Linked DNA regions of Elephas maximus indicus. The protein of the gene in region 1 interacts with the protein of each later gene in a pairwise test. Links are inferred from orthologs where the notes say so. Each region holds a gene or a part of one and is shown on either strand. Other genes may lie near its edges.

Region 1 (8,023 bases):
TTCCTGTTCAGACTTGCTGGGTTAACCTTAAATTCATTTAAAACTATCTTTCCATAGATAGCTCCCACGCTCTATTATGTAAACTTTCCACCCAGCAAACTGATCTTAACTATCTCTTGATTAACCCTAACTTCTCTCCTGTGCTGGTAAAGTTTGAGAACTACTAATTTAGAGGCTCGCACTTTCTTTTCTTTAACAAACACTTATTTTCCTCCTATTATATGTAGAGGCTAGGGTACAAAAATGAACAGGGTACCACAAAATCTTTAAATAAATAGGTTCTTGCTTTCAAGAAGTTCATGGTCTAGTAGACGGAGACAGCCATGGCAAACAAGTATGTGCAAACTACTGAAACAGGTGCTATAACAGAAGTCCGGATAAGACGCAAAGGGAGCAATGAGGTCGTTGCTACCTTGTGAAGTCAGCAAAGGCTCCAGTTACAAAGAAATCATCCTTGAGCTGCATCTTGAAAATAATTAGAAGCTAGTTTGAAGAAGGAGCTTTGGTGGTGCGGTGGTTAAGAGCTGGGCTGCTAACCAGAGGGTCAGCAGTTTGAATCCACCAGCAGTTCCTTGGAAACCCTATGGGGCAGTTCTCTTCTGTCCTATAGGGTCGCTATGATTCAGAATCAGAAGAATAGAATGGGGAAGGACATCCTGGCAGAGAGAGTAGCACCAAGGCCTGGAGGCATGAATTATCATGGTATCTTACACAAACTGTCCAATCTGGCCAACATTGGATTTTTGTTGTGGGACAAATCCATAAAAAGGCATGAGAGTAAAGCAGGGGCTGGATCACAAAAAGTTGTAGGTATGACACCGAAGACTTTGGATTTGATCCTGTAGGCCGGAGATCATATGCTGGCAGCCTTGGTCTAATCCGAAGTGCAACGTTCTTTTATTGAATCTAAATTCCTCGAGGAAGAACATGGCGAATTCTCCCATACCCTTCACCATAGTCTCTGCTACTCCTTTTTGTCTTGAACAAGGCCACTTCACAAATGTAAGTTACCTGCCTGGCTCCAGACACCACTTGACTTCAGAGTGTGGGCAAAGGGTAGCCACTGAGAATTCTTTACCAGGAGAATAACATGGTCAGATGTGTGCTTTAGAAAGATCACTGTTGAAGCAGTATGGAGGGTGGATTGGAGAGATGTGGGAATTCAGACAGGGAGGAGAGTTAGGACAATGTTGTACTCGACAGGACAGTAGATAAAGAGGCCCTGAACTGAAAGATTAGTCCAAAGGACTAATGGACCACAAGTTCCACAACCTCTACCAGACTGAGTCCAGCGCAACCAGATGATGCCCTGCTACCACTACCAAGTGTTCCGACAGAGACCACAAAAGAGGGTCCCGGACAGAGCTGGAGAAAAGTGTACAACGAAATTCCAGCCCTCCCCTCTCCCCCCCTCCCCCCAAAAATCAGACTTACTCGTCTGACAGAGACTGGAGAAACTCAGAGAGTATGGCCCCCAGACACCCTTATTAGCTCAGTATTATTACTGAGGCTCACCCTTCAGCCAAAAATAATTGGGTTATTATTTTTTTTTCCTATTCCATTTAAGAATAGTGCCACCATGTGTCAACTTTAAAGATGTTATTCTTTTTAGATCTGGAATCCTGAAGAAAATTCATTATTTTGGAGCCAAAAAAAAAAAAAAGTAAACGAACAGGAAGTTCAATGCTTATTTAATACTAGAACATCCTTTAGTTGTTTGAAACAATGGTGGGTATAAAGACATTAAGAGTAGCTTAGTATCTTCAACTTTTCAAAAGGAAACTGAAGAATCAAAATACCTTCAACTTGACTCAAGTAGGAAAAGTGGACAGGGAAAAGAATGAGACAAATTCCCTTACTATGGTGAATTCCTTTAATAGCTTCATAAATGGGGGTATGTAAGAGCTTGTAATGTACTTAAAAACTTTAAGAGAAGGGTTGGTAAAGAATTAAGGTTGGAAGGAATTAAATTTCAAGTAATTTTGAGTAAATTAAACAATTTACAAAATAGATTTGGAAATGGTTATTTTTATGATTTTATGGACTGTGCATCTTTGTCATAATCATAATGCAATTGCATAGGTTTTCACACTGTGGTTTCCTGTCCCCAAGAAGTTTCCCATGGCCATTTTTTCCGTCAAGGGGGAGGCTAGGCTGACAGCATTCTGGGCCCATCCCTCCCTTGCTTCAATTCCAGAGTACTTCCACTTTGCTGTTTTGTGTATAGCGGGTTTCCTTAGATTTTGTTTGCCAGGCCTCCTGTTATTAAAACAAGCAACAAAAACATAAATCACTACATCTAAAACCAAACCCACTGCTGTGGAGTTGATTCCAACTCATAGCAAACCTATAGGACAGAATAGAATGGCCCCATAGGGTTTCCAAGGCTGTAAATCTTTGCGGAAGCAGACTGTCACGTCTCTCCAGCAGAGTGGCCAGTGGGTTCAAATCGCTGACCTTTCAGTTAACAGCCTAGCGGTTTAACTACTACGCCTCGAGGGTTCCTCAAACCATAATAATCTCATACAATGATTATCAGGATGAATTAATGTGCTAATGGAAAAAAGAAACCCAAATTAAGGGGGATACCATTTGTGCTAGAGACAGCTATAACCCCAACCCTCTTCCCCCCACCTTCAATCATGTAGGGTCTTGAGAAGTGCCATGTCCAGCTAGGGACTACATTTCCCAGTCTCCACTTTTACCTAGACGGACCCTCATTCTTGCCAATCATATGGGGGAAAAAAATACCGTATGTCATTTCTGAGTCCACGTGTTTAAGAAGTAGATGTGCGCCTTCCTTTTGCAGAAGTTAGCAAACTACTCTTGCAGGCCAAATCTAACAGGCTGCCTATTTTCGTAAATAAAGGTTCATTGGGACACAGCCGGGCCCACTCATGTTAAGTCCTGTCTGTTAGACTGCAACTGCAGAGGCAGAATGAATGCTTTGGTGACCCAACCTTTTCTGCTTTGATTTTTTTGTTGATAGCCTGTGTTTTCATTAATGGAAGCATGCTGAACCCTCGAGTGTGTCTGTATTTTTGGTAGGTAGTATGGATTTTTTTGTTGTTGCCCTCTCCCATGAGCCTACCCTAAGTGCTTAGTGGGACATATGAAGTGCCACTAATTATACCCCAGAGTCCCCACTGGGATCTATGGGTACCTATGTACAACAAATAAAAACTTACAAAATTTCTATTTTTCCTACCAAAAATTCAGAGCCCTCATACAATAACCATGTAAAAACTGTAATTAGCATTGCACACCCATCTCTCTGGTTTCAAACAGACATAATGGCCCCTGCCTTGGAGCAGCACACACAGTCAGTGGTACAGAGGCTTCCCAATAAACCCCAGAGGCTAAAAAATTCATGGTCACAATATGTACTGCTGGGCACGAAAGGGTTAAATTGTTGCCACAGAGACCACAGGGCCCACAAAGCCTAAAACATTTACTATCTAGTCCTTTACAGAAAACATTTACCTCTACTCCAAGGGATCAAAGGAGCCTGGGTCCCTGAATCAATACATGTAGGAAAGCTGACCACTGATACCTGCCCTCAGTGTTACAAGAGCAAGAAATTTCTCTCGTGTTAAGCCACTGAAATTTTTAGTTTCAGCAGCTAACCTGTTAAATACAGTATTCTTGGAAACTGGTTCAAAAACTTATTTAGTAAAAACTTGTGTTATCTGGCGGATGAATGATAATTGAAGAGCATAGCTCAAGGTCTGACTCAAACTGGAAGAAAAGTTCAAATCTTAAAAGCAAATTCCATAAAGCATCACGACTTGGGCAAATAACTTATCTTAAAAACATAAGGTCATTAAGAGCCACTGAGTTAAAGGGAACTTTAGGATCTACAAGCTAGTGCTTATGTATGATGGTATGAAACTTCAAAATAAATGGTAATAGCATTTAGATTTCTCATGGATACTCCACTATGTTTTATATACTGAGTTCACAGTGCCTTTGAAAGCATAACTATAAAGGACATTACGGGTAGCTTACTAGTAGCATAGCTACTACAGATACTGATATTTATGCGTTCCATTCCATGCCCCAGATAGAAATCAACATAGGAATGTTTTTGCAGATAAGGGTTCTTTGTGTCTGAAAAGTTTTCCATTAAACAAAGTTTTCAAGAAAAAAAGAACACACATAAGGTCAGGAAAAATATTTGCTGAGGTTTAGAAAGAAATTTCTGCAATTAAGGAAGCCATTTTTAATACTGATAAACACACTCTCCATGGCGCGATGGGGCAGATGCTGGATTAAAGAGGTTAAGGGTGCGAATTCTACCAGGGCTAAATGGCACATGATTTATTTGCGAAACAAAAGTCACAAAACAATATTTACCCTTAGTGGGTGGGATGCATAATTTTATTCTCTTCCTTCCCCATCTCCATCCTATGCTATTTTGCTGTTGTGTGTGCTTTTTATGCCGCTCACCACACAGTAAGTGGAGTCTACAACCTACTAATGGGTCATAGCCGTTTGAAAAGCTCTCTCATACAGCATTATCATACTGTCTGAGCAGGGATATATGTAAGAAATTTTCAATCACTCGCCTAATTCTAAAAGGAACCATTGTATTGGAAAACAGAAACATGAGTTTGACTGTGAACGTCTGTGGTTCCTTCCCTCCGGGGGCTTTCATCCATGTCTATCAAGTAGGGGCTGACAATCTGCTAGCAAGAGGCTGGAAGACTGTTTCATTGGGCGAGGCTGGGTGGAGATAAACGGGGTTTTCTCACCCGCGTGTCTGGATGAATTCAGACGGTCCTTAAGGCTCCCAGAAACCGGTGTTTCTTCGAAGGACAGGCCAGCACCTGGGCATCCCTGTCCCTCACGGCCAGCGTCCTCCTCCCCGCCTGACCGAGGCCCCGCCCCTGGCCGAGGCCCCGCCCCTGACCGAGGCCCCGCCCCCTGACCGGCCCCCGCCCCCGCCCCCGACCGCCGACCCCACCCCACCCCCAGCGACGCCCCCCGCCGGCTGCAGTGGCTGCCGCGCCCCGAGGCGCCTGCTCAGTTGCCGGACGCGGCGCGCGAGGGGCGGTGTCGCCGCGGCTGCTCCAGCATGGCGGCTGCGGCCCTGGGCAGCTCCTCGGGCTCCCCGTCCCCGGCCGTGGCTGAGCTCTGCCAGAACAGCCCGGAGACCTTTCTGGAGGCCTCCAAGCTGCTGCTCACCTACGCGGACAACATCCTCAGGTGCGCGGCGGGCGGGAGCGCCGGGGCGGCCGGGGCGCGGCGCCCGCTCGGCGCGGGTCTGGGGGCGCCCGACCCGGTCTCGGAGGGCGGCGGGGACCGGGGGGACCTGGCCTGGGGGTGGCGCCGCGCAGGAGCCCGCAGGCCGGGGCCCCGGGACCGCACAGGCCCCATCGTGCCCGAAAAGAGGAAGTTCCCTTTGCATGTGTGACTTGGCACCTGAGATCGGAGTGCACCGGGGTGCGCTGGAGGTCCCCGGTTGGGGCAAGGCGGCGGGGCGCGCCCAGGCACTTGCTTCTCACTCGGGTGTTTAACTAACTGTCTTAAATGCCAAGATATGAACAGTAATTGCGCTTCCGTGTCCGCTACGTGGACTCCTCGGAGCAGGGCGGCTTAAATACACACCTGCTTATCAGAAGTTAGTCATTGACAGCCTGGTGTTTTCTTCCCAACGCTTCGTAGATATCCTAAAGCATACTACTGAAGTTTCGTGTTTAATTTTAAGAGTTTTTTTTTTTTTTGGCCATTTTTGTTGGTTGAAACATTATTAACCATATTATTGTAAAGTTACACTTATCACATCAATATCTGAATTCTACTTTTCAGTATGACTCCCTAAATAAGTAAGAATTGGTGAAGGATAGGAGTGATTTGTTTCATTCACCTGTGAGTAAAAGTACACGTCTAGAGCTGACGTTTTAGGAATGGGGAGGCAAGTTGGCATGAAATCTAAAAACGAGTTGCTCTTCGTTTCAAGGCTATAGATTTTCTGTGACCCAATTTTAGAGACATTAGTTACAAGTGCAGTGTTTAATCCATGGCAGTAATAATACTGTTCATTTAGGTAATGTTAATGATTTTAAAGGTGTTTAGGGAAATTGCATTGAGCCCTTATTATGTGCCAGATATTCTGAGGGGTACACTATGTGCACTGTTTACAGCTACAGAATCATGACCTGTCTAGGGACCGCCTTCCTCCTCTGTGATACCTTCCCAACTCACCTCACTGAGAGGTCTTAGAGCTATTCAGAGCAGAAGGATGCCAGTGGGCTCTGCATGAATGAACTGGAGAGGCTGGGTTTTTCACAGCCCATCAGCTGGGCCTCCTGCCTGAAAAGCCACCCAACTATTTAAACCACACCAAGAAACCCTAGGGGGCAGTTCTCTGTCCTGCAGGGTCACTATGAATCAGAATGGACTCAATGGCACAGGGTTAATCCGAAAAGGGTGGTGGCCTTGTAGTGAGGACTCACTAGGTTTCGATTCTGTGAAACCAAAAATGCTGAGATCAAGGTACTTTGAGGAAGGAAACCCTCTGCATGCAAATAATGACTTTTGGCATCATAATCATCATTATGAATGTTAACCAAACCCCTGGAAGAGACTTGGCATGCTGTAGGTTCAAGTTATAGTCTTTACTGTGGCTTAGGTTTCTCCTCTTAAAGGCTTTTCTTTCCTGTTGCTTTTTTTGTTTGTTTGTTTGCTTCTTATTTATAAAGGGAATTAGGCATCTGGAACTCCTATAAAAAAGATGGTATGAAAAGAAACTGTCCTTTTTAGTTAAGATAGTAGTACCCCTGTCATCAAATTCTTAGAATTCAAATCCCTTCAGGCGTCAGGAGGAAAAACCATCTTTTCTTTCCTATCCAAACCCAGTGTCTTCCTAACCTCTAAACGGAAAAGCTCCGGATTCTTTTTTGGTCCCCAGTCAAGCAACAATAGAGATCTGCTAATTGAAAGTATTTGAGAATGGAGAAATCCAGGTTTTTCTGTTGCTTTTTTTGTGTGTGTGGTTTGGGGAAATCCACTAGTGTTAGAGGCAAGGAACTATATGTCTTCTCATCTTGATGACCCTCACTCCTGCTTCAGGGGAGAGCAAGAGCTGAAACATGAATTTTATTCGTTTTTTTTTTTTTTTTTTTAAGCAGTGATATTTGCCACTGTACACATTGAATTTCAAGTGAAAAGACTACTTTTGATTAAGTTTTTTAAAATGTCTGCCTCAAGTGACGTTTATCCTTCTCCCCAAATACCAATCATAAATCTAATGAACTTACAGAATAAAATATGTGTTAATTTGAATCCCCAGATTCCGTTAGTTTGGATCTTTTACCTCTTTTTCAGGCCATTGACTTACAGAGACAAGCTGTTCTCTATAATACCCGCTTCCACAAAAGCCTGTAACAGCATTTCTCTATCATTCCACATGAGTTCCTTCAGTAATTTGCTGCATTCATTCTTTAAACAATACATTAGATTTTCCACGAATTTCCTTTGCAAAGTGCACACAATTATTGATTCACAACTGGGTATGATTGGGAAGGGCCAAGAGTAGTACCTGGTTTCTTCCTTCAAAAAATATACATCTATTTGAGAGAAAGGCACAGGTATGGAAAATAACCAGAGCATAAAATCTAGAGAACAATTCCAAGACAGTGTTTAAGCACATTTATATTTATGTGAGGAGATAGCAGTGGGACCTAACACAGGTCAGGTTTGATAAGGTTGGACCTTGAGAAGTCGATGGACCAGTGGAGACCTTATATTTGACACAACAGATTAAGAGAAAGCATTTGTGTTTTCTAGAGTCCAAAAGAAGCATAACGGAAGAGTTACAGGTAAATAATAGTGTGAAACAGAGAGTGGATTTCCGTTGTGAAACTACTGCGGTAGTCATAAGCATCAGAGCGGATGGAAATGAGAGAACTATATTGCAGGCAGGGATTGACAAGTCTTCCTGACTGAATGGGGGGAGCAGAACTGGTGATGGAGGAGAGGAACTGGTGGGGGGCAGGCAGGAGAGACTAAAAAATCAAAA
Region 2 (7,500 bases), on another chromosome or scaffold:
AAGGTCAGCAGTTGGAACACACTATCTGCTCTGCGGAAGAAAGATGTGGCAATCCATGTCGGTAAAGATTTACAGCTTTGGAAACCCTCTGGAGCAATTCTGCTCTGCCCTGCAGGGTTGCTATGAGTTGAAATGGACTCAGTGGCAGCGAGGTTTAATCTTTACAGAAGGAGCCCTGGTGTCACAGTGGTTAAAGCACTCAGCTGCTAACTGAAAAGTTGGTGGCTGGTGGTTCAAACCCCCCACCCACACCACAGGAGAAAGATGGGGCAGTTTGCTTCTGTAAAGATTACAGCCTTGGAAACCCTATGGGGCAGTTCTACTCTGTCCTAAAGGGTCACTATGAGTTGGAATTGACTTGACAGCAATGGGTTTTTTTTGGTTTTAATCTTGTGGAAAGAGATTGCCACATCTTTCTCTCGGAGTGACTGGTAGGTTCAAAACGAAGACCTTTTGGTTGGCAGCTGAGTGCTTAACCAGGGTTTCTTGTTGTTGTTTTTTTTCATTAGATGAGATTTTTAGTTACAAGACATAAAAACCAGCTATGACTGATTTAGCAAACAGCTTTTTGCTGAAATGATCCTGTGTCCTTCAGGAGATTGCTGCAGAGTTTTGTCATAGTTAAAAAAAAGTAGTATCATATGTGTGTAAATTTTTGTATGAGAAATTAACTTGAGCTGTAAACTTTCGCCTAAAGCACAATAAAGAAAAAAAAGATCATCTTTGCTGATTCATGAAAGTAATAATTATTTTTTTTATTCTTTATACTGCTTCAAAATACAACCTGATGATTGGAGGGTTTCTGTTTCATTTTATTTGGGGATTTACTTCAGACACTTGTTAGCTGCCATCGAGTCAACTGACTCCTCTATGTACAACTGAACAAAATGCTGCCCGGGCCTGCGCCATCCCCACGGTCAGCTGGGGATTGGACCGTTGTATTTCATTGGCTGGTTTTTCGGAAGTAGATGGCCAGGCCTTTCTTCTTAGTCCATCTTACGTTGGAAGTTCTGCTGAAACCCGTTCAGCATCACAGCTGGTGCCTGTGCATGAGGATCGTTGGTCAGGAAGAGAATTCTACCACTGAATCGCCTCCTTTTTCAGGTACAGTTGGCGAACAGGAAATTGTCTTTCTAACTGAAATACATACCTGTGTTAGGTGTGGCTCAAAAAACCATTGGCACGATAATAACTACCTTTGGAGAGAGCTTCTCCCAGTCTTCTTTTTGGTGAACAACATTCTAGGCCTGGGAGGTAATTAGGGAAGAGAGGATTGCTGTCTTTTTGTTTTTAAAAATTATGTAATGACTCAAACATACAGAAAAATAGAGAAAACAGAACTCTCTCAATTTGTAATTTATTTCTTTTTCCTTTTCTAAATACAAGAACAATGTAATGTAGAAATTCAACATAGGCATGTCATCATCGTATAGAGCTTTTCACGTGCATCCCTCCCGGAGCGCTAGCTAGGAAAGGGATAATCACTACCTAAAAAAAATGATGAAATAATGGAAACATACAGAAAAATAGAGAAAGCAACATGTTTTTCTCCTATTTTTAATGACATTTATTCTTTCTTTTCTAAATACAAGAGAGACCCAAATGAAGAATCCATGGCCTGTGAGTTGATTCTGACTCACAGCAACCCTATAGGACAGAGTAGAACCGCCCCATAGGGTTTCCAAGGCTGTAATCTTTATGGAAGCAGAGCGCTGCATCTTCCTCCCGAAGAATAGCTGGTGGGTTTGAACTGCCCACCTTTCAGTTAGCAGCTGAGCACTTAACCACTGTGTCACCAGGGCTCCTTACAAGAGAAGTACAATGCAGAAATTCAGTGCATAAATATAGAAAACACAGAAGAGCATATGAGGAAAAAACATGCTTCATCTCGCATTCCAGTCTTTTCTGTCCATTCTTTATTTCTTTTTATCAAATGTTTATTTTTCTGTTTTTTTCTTTGGTGAATCTTTTTTTAAAATTTTTATTACGCTCTAAGTGAAAGTTTACAAATCAAGTCAGTCTGTCATACAAAAAATTATATGCACTTTGTTATATATACTCCTAGTTGCTCTCCCCTTAATGAGACAGCACGCTTCTTCTCTCCACCCTCTATTTCTGTGTCCATTCAGCCAGCTTCTGTCTCCCTCTGCCTTCTCCTCTCCCCTCCAGACAGGAGCTGCCTGCATAGTCTCATGTGTCTACTTGATGCAAGAAGCTCACTCCTCACCAGTATCATTTTTTTTCCAGGGATCTAGTCTAATCCCTGTCTGAGGAGTTGGCTTTGGGAATGGTTCCTGTGTTGGGCTAAAAGAAGGTCTGGGGACCATGACTTCCGGGGTCCTTCTAGTCTCAGTCAGACCATTAAGTGTGGTCTTTTTATGAGACTTTGAGGTCTGCATCCCACTGCTTTCCTGCTCCCTCAGGGGTTCTCTGTTGTGCTCCCTGTCAGAGCAGTCATTGGATGTAGCCGGGCACCATCTAGTTCTTCTGGTCTCTCCGTGAATCTTTTTAATGACTGTGTTTTGGTAAACTTTTTTATTTGAAATAGAATAAATTTACTCAGTATATTTTTGTTTTATCTTAGTGCGTGTTTATATATATATTTCGTATATTTAATGCATTAATAGAATGAATATTAATACACATATTTTCTGGTTTTCCTTAATGTTTAATAACTGTGCTTCTTTGGTAAACTTTTATTGAAATATAACATACAATGTAAAGTGCTTAAATCTTAAGTGTACAGTGTAATGATTCTTTTACTGAATAAGTGTTGTTACTTGCTGTTGAGTCTGTTCCAATTCGTGACATCCACATGTACAACAGAACGAAGCATTGGCTGGTCATGTGTCATCTTCCCAGTGGCGTTCGTTGTTGTAGTCACTGTGCATTCTGAGTGCCTCCCAATCTAGGGGGCTCATTGTCCAGCACTACATTGGGCAGTATTTTGTTATGACTCACAGGGTTTTCATTGGCTAATTTCCAGAAGTAGATCACCAGGCCCTTCTTCCTAGTCTGGCTTAGTGTAGCAGTTCCACAGAAATCCGTCCATCATGGCTTACCCTGCTGGTATTTGAGATACTGTTGACGTAGCTTCCAGCATCACAGTAACACACAAACTACCACAGTACTGCAAATTGACAGATGGGTTTACTAATAAATACATCCATGTTAACCACTTTGCAGGTTGAGATACAGAACATTTGCAAGACTCAGAAATCCCACTCGTATCCTTCTGCAGTGTATACCCTCCAAATGTAACCACTATTCTGATTTCTCTCATCTTTTGTCTGTTTTTGAACTCGGTATGTTTGGCATCACACAGCATATACTTCATGTTGTCGTCATTAGGTGCTGTTGAATCAACTCCAACTCATGGTGACCTTATGTATAAAAGAAGGAAACATTGCCCAGTCCTGTGCCATCCTCACAATCGTTGCTATGTGTGAGCCCACTGTTGCAGCCACTGTGTCAATCCATCTCATTGAGAGTCTCTCTCTTTTACACTGACGCTCTACTTTACCAAGCATGATGTCCTTCTCCAGGGACTGGTCTCTTCTGATAATGCGTCCAAAGTAAGCGAGATGAAGTCTCGCCATCCTTGCTTCTAAGGACCATTCTGGCTGTATTTCTTCCAAGACAGATATGTTCGTTCTTTGGCAGTCCATGCTATATTCAATATTGTTTGCCAACACCACAAATATAATACTTCATGTTTAAAGAAAAATATTCTATCCTGTTACAAATATTGCTTTGTAACCTGCTTCTCCTGCTTAGTATCAGCTCATGGACATTTTACGATTATAATCTGCAATAAAATCATGATTTTAAATTGGTGCACTGTTTGTAGTTTGTTTTTTTTTTTTGTAGTACACGCTGAAGTACACTTAAATAATTATTCTCCTGTTTTCATTCATGAGGGAAGAGGAGCTCAGAGTCCATTCAGGGAGCAAGTGGAGAAACTGGGACTCGAACCTGCGTCTAAGGAAATGGCTATTCTACTGCAGAAAGCAAAGTGCTCAAATATGGTCAGAACCTTGCCGAAGACTTACATAAGGGTGTTATACCAGGAACAAGAATGACTAATAAGTATTAATGGCCCATGACAAAACAAATGCCATTAAATTATCTTAATAGTCATATTAGTAATGTTTGCACAGTATTATTCATGCAGATACTATTAGCCTGTGTGGGGGCAGTTGTTGGGCTGAACATTGGGCTCAAAGCTCAGGTCTCCGCCCCTCATTCCAGATGTTTAGGGGTTGGGACTTTCAGGGGCACGCCCCCATGGGGGCCGAGGAGCCAATCGGCGCGCGGAAGGCGGGGCCCTGGGAGCGACAACTGTGTTATCCAATGGGCCGACAGCCGAAGCTGCGGCTGGGCCAATGGGCGCGCTGCTCGGCGGCCGTCGGAAGTGGTGAGGCGGCTCTGGGGCCGCGGTTGAGCGCTGGGGCTAGCTGAGAAGGTCCGAGCTGTGGCTAGCGGTCGGCTCGGCGTCCCTCCTCGCGTCTCAGGTGAGGTGTAGCGGCGGCCCCGCGTCGGAAGTCGTCTCCCGATGGGGAGGAGGCCGCCTTCCGGGGCGAGGATGTGTGGGGGTGGGGCCCTAGGCCCCGGAGTCGCGGCCTTAAGGCCAGTCAGGGAGGCCGCGCTTCTCCTCAGGGAAGCGGAGCCTCCACCGCCCCGGCGGCGCCGCCCCCTTCCTGGCCTTAGACACCGCGGCCCGGGCGGAGCTGCGTCGGGCCCCGGCCTGGGGAGTTGAGGGACCAGGTGTGCCGACCGTCGGGCTGCCAGCGTTGGGGGTGAGTGGCGGGTGGTCTAGCGCGGCCTGTGGGCCGACTGACCCGAGTTCGAGTCCCGGCTCTGGCCGGCGTGTAACTGCCTCTCTGGATCTCTGCCATTCACCTTAGAGATTCGTGGTCGGGAAGAAAGGATCATACGTGTGAAGCGTTTGGTACTTAACTAAACGCTGGGTGAAGGTTAACCACTATTACTGGAGTGCTGTGCTCTCTCCACGTCCCGCCCTCACCCCTTTCTGGGAAAGAGCACCCCCGACGTCGCAGAGGGAGGGGCAGGTCTGCACCCCGCTGGCAGCTCCGTTCCCCGGGCATAAAACCAGTACCCGAAACCTGGAGACACCTGGTCGACGCCTAACAGGGGCTCCTTCCATGGTGGAAGACTTAAGGGGCCAAAGCAGTTCCATGCTTTCTCCCGGGGACGCCTCACAACGACGCTTTGAAGTATTAGCAACTGTTAGTGGGAGGAGTCTAAGGCCCAGGGAGGGCAAATCACGCATTTACTGAGTGGCAGAACCAGAATTTGACGCCCAGAGGGGCTGATTCCAAGCCCGGCAGCCACGCCAACCTCCCTGAAGCTACAAAACTGGGCCTTTCCTGCATCCGAGACTCAGGTCTTGGTTTAGAGGTGACCATTTAGTGGGCTGGAACTGAGCACAGCTAGAATCGGTCCCTCAGCCCTGAGAATCTAGGCACTTCCCTTCAGAGAAGTGATTTGTTTCCATAGATAGTTGGTTTCTATCCCTTGTCTCCTAGCTAGCGTTTCATATCAGAGTCGATGTCCTGAATCATGTCACTTCCTGGTTTAAACAACCTTCCTTAGTTTACGGGTTTGGAATAGAATCCAGTAGCATTTCTGGCCTACACTGTCAGGCCTGTCTTGCCGGGTTCTCCTTGTTTGTTGTGTTCCTCATCTGCCTTTACTTTCTCTTTCCTTGTCTTTTTGCCCTTCCTACTTCCTGAATGGGTTTTCCCCTCACTCCCATCCTCTTCTCAAGGCTGGCTCTTCTCCCTTTTAGGTCTTAGTTTAAATGTCATCTCCGCAAAGAGGTCTTCCCCGACCACCCTATCTAAAGGAGATTTTTCTCCACTCAATCCCCCTTTGTGTGTGCTTTCCCATCAAAATACTCACCTTAAGTTTTATTTATTTGCTAATTGTTTTTCTTGACCACTAGGGTTCTCCGTTAGGTCAAACATTATTTTTCTTTAATTTATAAAGTATCCTTAGTGCCAGGGCGCTAAATGTCTGGCAGGTTTTGAACACTGACAGTTGGTTTGGTAATACTGACACCATTCGAGGGCCCAATTCACTGAAAAACAAACCAAACCCATTGCCCTCGAGTCGATTCCGACTCACAGCAACCCTGTAGGACAGAGTAGAACTGCCCCATAGAGTTTCCAAAGAGCGCCTGGTAGATTAGAACTGCTGACCTTTTGGTTAGCAGCCACAGCACTTAACCACTATGCCACCAGGGTTTCCAGAGCCTGATTACAGAGGCACTATTCAAAACTATTTTTAATCATGCAAAACCTAGTGCCATCAAGTCAATTCTGACTCATAGCGACCCTATAAGGAATTAAATATTGAATGTAAAGTTGCCCTGCTGCTTTCTGCATTGATGTCTTGTTTAAAAAGAAGGAATGACTGACTACCCTGGAGGAACCTGGCAGACACCATCTCAGCTAAGTGATTGAAGTTTACATCACCAGTAATATTAAGTCAGTTGATGTCATGTACCTTCTGATATGATGCACCAAGATGGACACAATATCACTTCTATGGTATTCTTGCCAAAAATGTATAACCTAAATTTAATCATGAGGAAACATCAGGCAGAGCCATACTGAAGGACATTCTACAAAATAACTAGCTTACATGGTTAAAAAAAAGTCAGAGAAAATAAAGAAGAACCAAACCAGGTGCTGTTGATTTTGATTCATGGCGACCCCATGTGTTTCAGGGTAGAACTATGCTACATAGGGTTTTTGATGGCTGTGGTGGCGTAATGGTTAAGTGCCACGGCTGCTGACCAAAAGGTCGGCAGTTTGAATCCATCAGGCACTCCTTGGAAACTCTATGGGGCAGTTCTACTCTGTTTTATAGGGTCTGTCTCTGAGTTGGAATTGACTTGATTTGTTTTTTTTTGTAGCACAGTGGTTAAGCATTTGGCTGCTCACCCCAGAGTTTGGCAGTTTGAACCTACCAGCCCCTGAGCAGGCAAAAAGACCTGGCAATCTGCCCCCGTAAAGATAACAGCCAAGGAAATCCTATGGGGCAGTTCTGCTCTATCATATAGGGTTGCTTTAAGTCTGAATCAACTCACCAGCATACGACAACAACACGATCTTTTGGAAACAGATTGCCAGGCCTTTCTTCCAAGGTGCCTCTGGGTGGATTTGAGCCATTAACTTTTCAGTTAGTAGCCAAGTGCTTCACAGTTTGCACCCCGCAGAGCTCATAGAAAGATTGGAGAACTTTCCCAGATTAAACAAGATTAAGGAGAAGTGACAAATGGCAGTGTGTGATCCTGGATTGGATCCTGGGCCAGAAAAAAGGGTATTAGTAGGGCAGTTGGTGAAATTTGAATAAGGACTATGGATTAGTTACTAGTATTATAGAAATGTTAATCTCCTGCCTTTGATAATTTTACTGTCATTATGATAAATTTCAGGGAAGCTGGGCGAAGGGTATATGGGAGTTCTTTGT

What was found. The genes of interacting proteins can lie anywhere in the genome.
Region 2: the proteins of NGLY1 (region 1) and TRAFD1 interact in binary tests that used the Homo sapiens proteins (3 or more experiments, as listed by UniProt). The two-hybrid records come from large-scale screens. The link is inferred for Elephas maximus indicus from reciprocal best matches to the Homo sapiens genes NGLY1 and TRAFD1.

What each region holds. Positions count from the first base shown.
Region 1 is NC_064845.1:13,766,804-13,774,826, forward strand, and holds the start of NGLY1 (peptide-N(4)-(N-acetyl-beta-glucosaminyl)asparagine amidase), read left to right. Parts: upstream 1-4,983; 5' UTR 4,984-5,077; coding exon 5,078-5,208; intron 5,209-8,023. UniProt on the Homo sapiens protein: Specifically deglycosylates the denatured form of N-linked glycoproteins in the cytoplasm and assists their proteasome-mediated degradation. Cleaves the beta-aspartyl-glucosamine (GlcNAc) of the glycan and the amide side chain of Asn, converting Asn to Asp.
Region 2 is NC_064840.1:10,427,254-10,434,753, forward strand, and holds the start of TRAFD1 (TRAF-type zinc finger domain-containing protein 1), read left to right. Parts: upstream 1-4,399; 5' UTR 4,400-4,514; intron 4,515-4,545; exon of another isoform or gene 4,546-4,799; intron 4,800-7,500. UniProt on the Homo sapiens protein: Negative feedback regulator that controls excessive innate immune responses. Regulates both Toll-like receptor 4 (TLR4) and DDX58/RIG1-like helicases (RLH) pathways.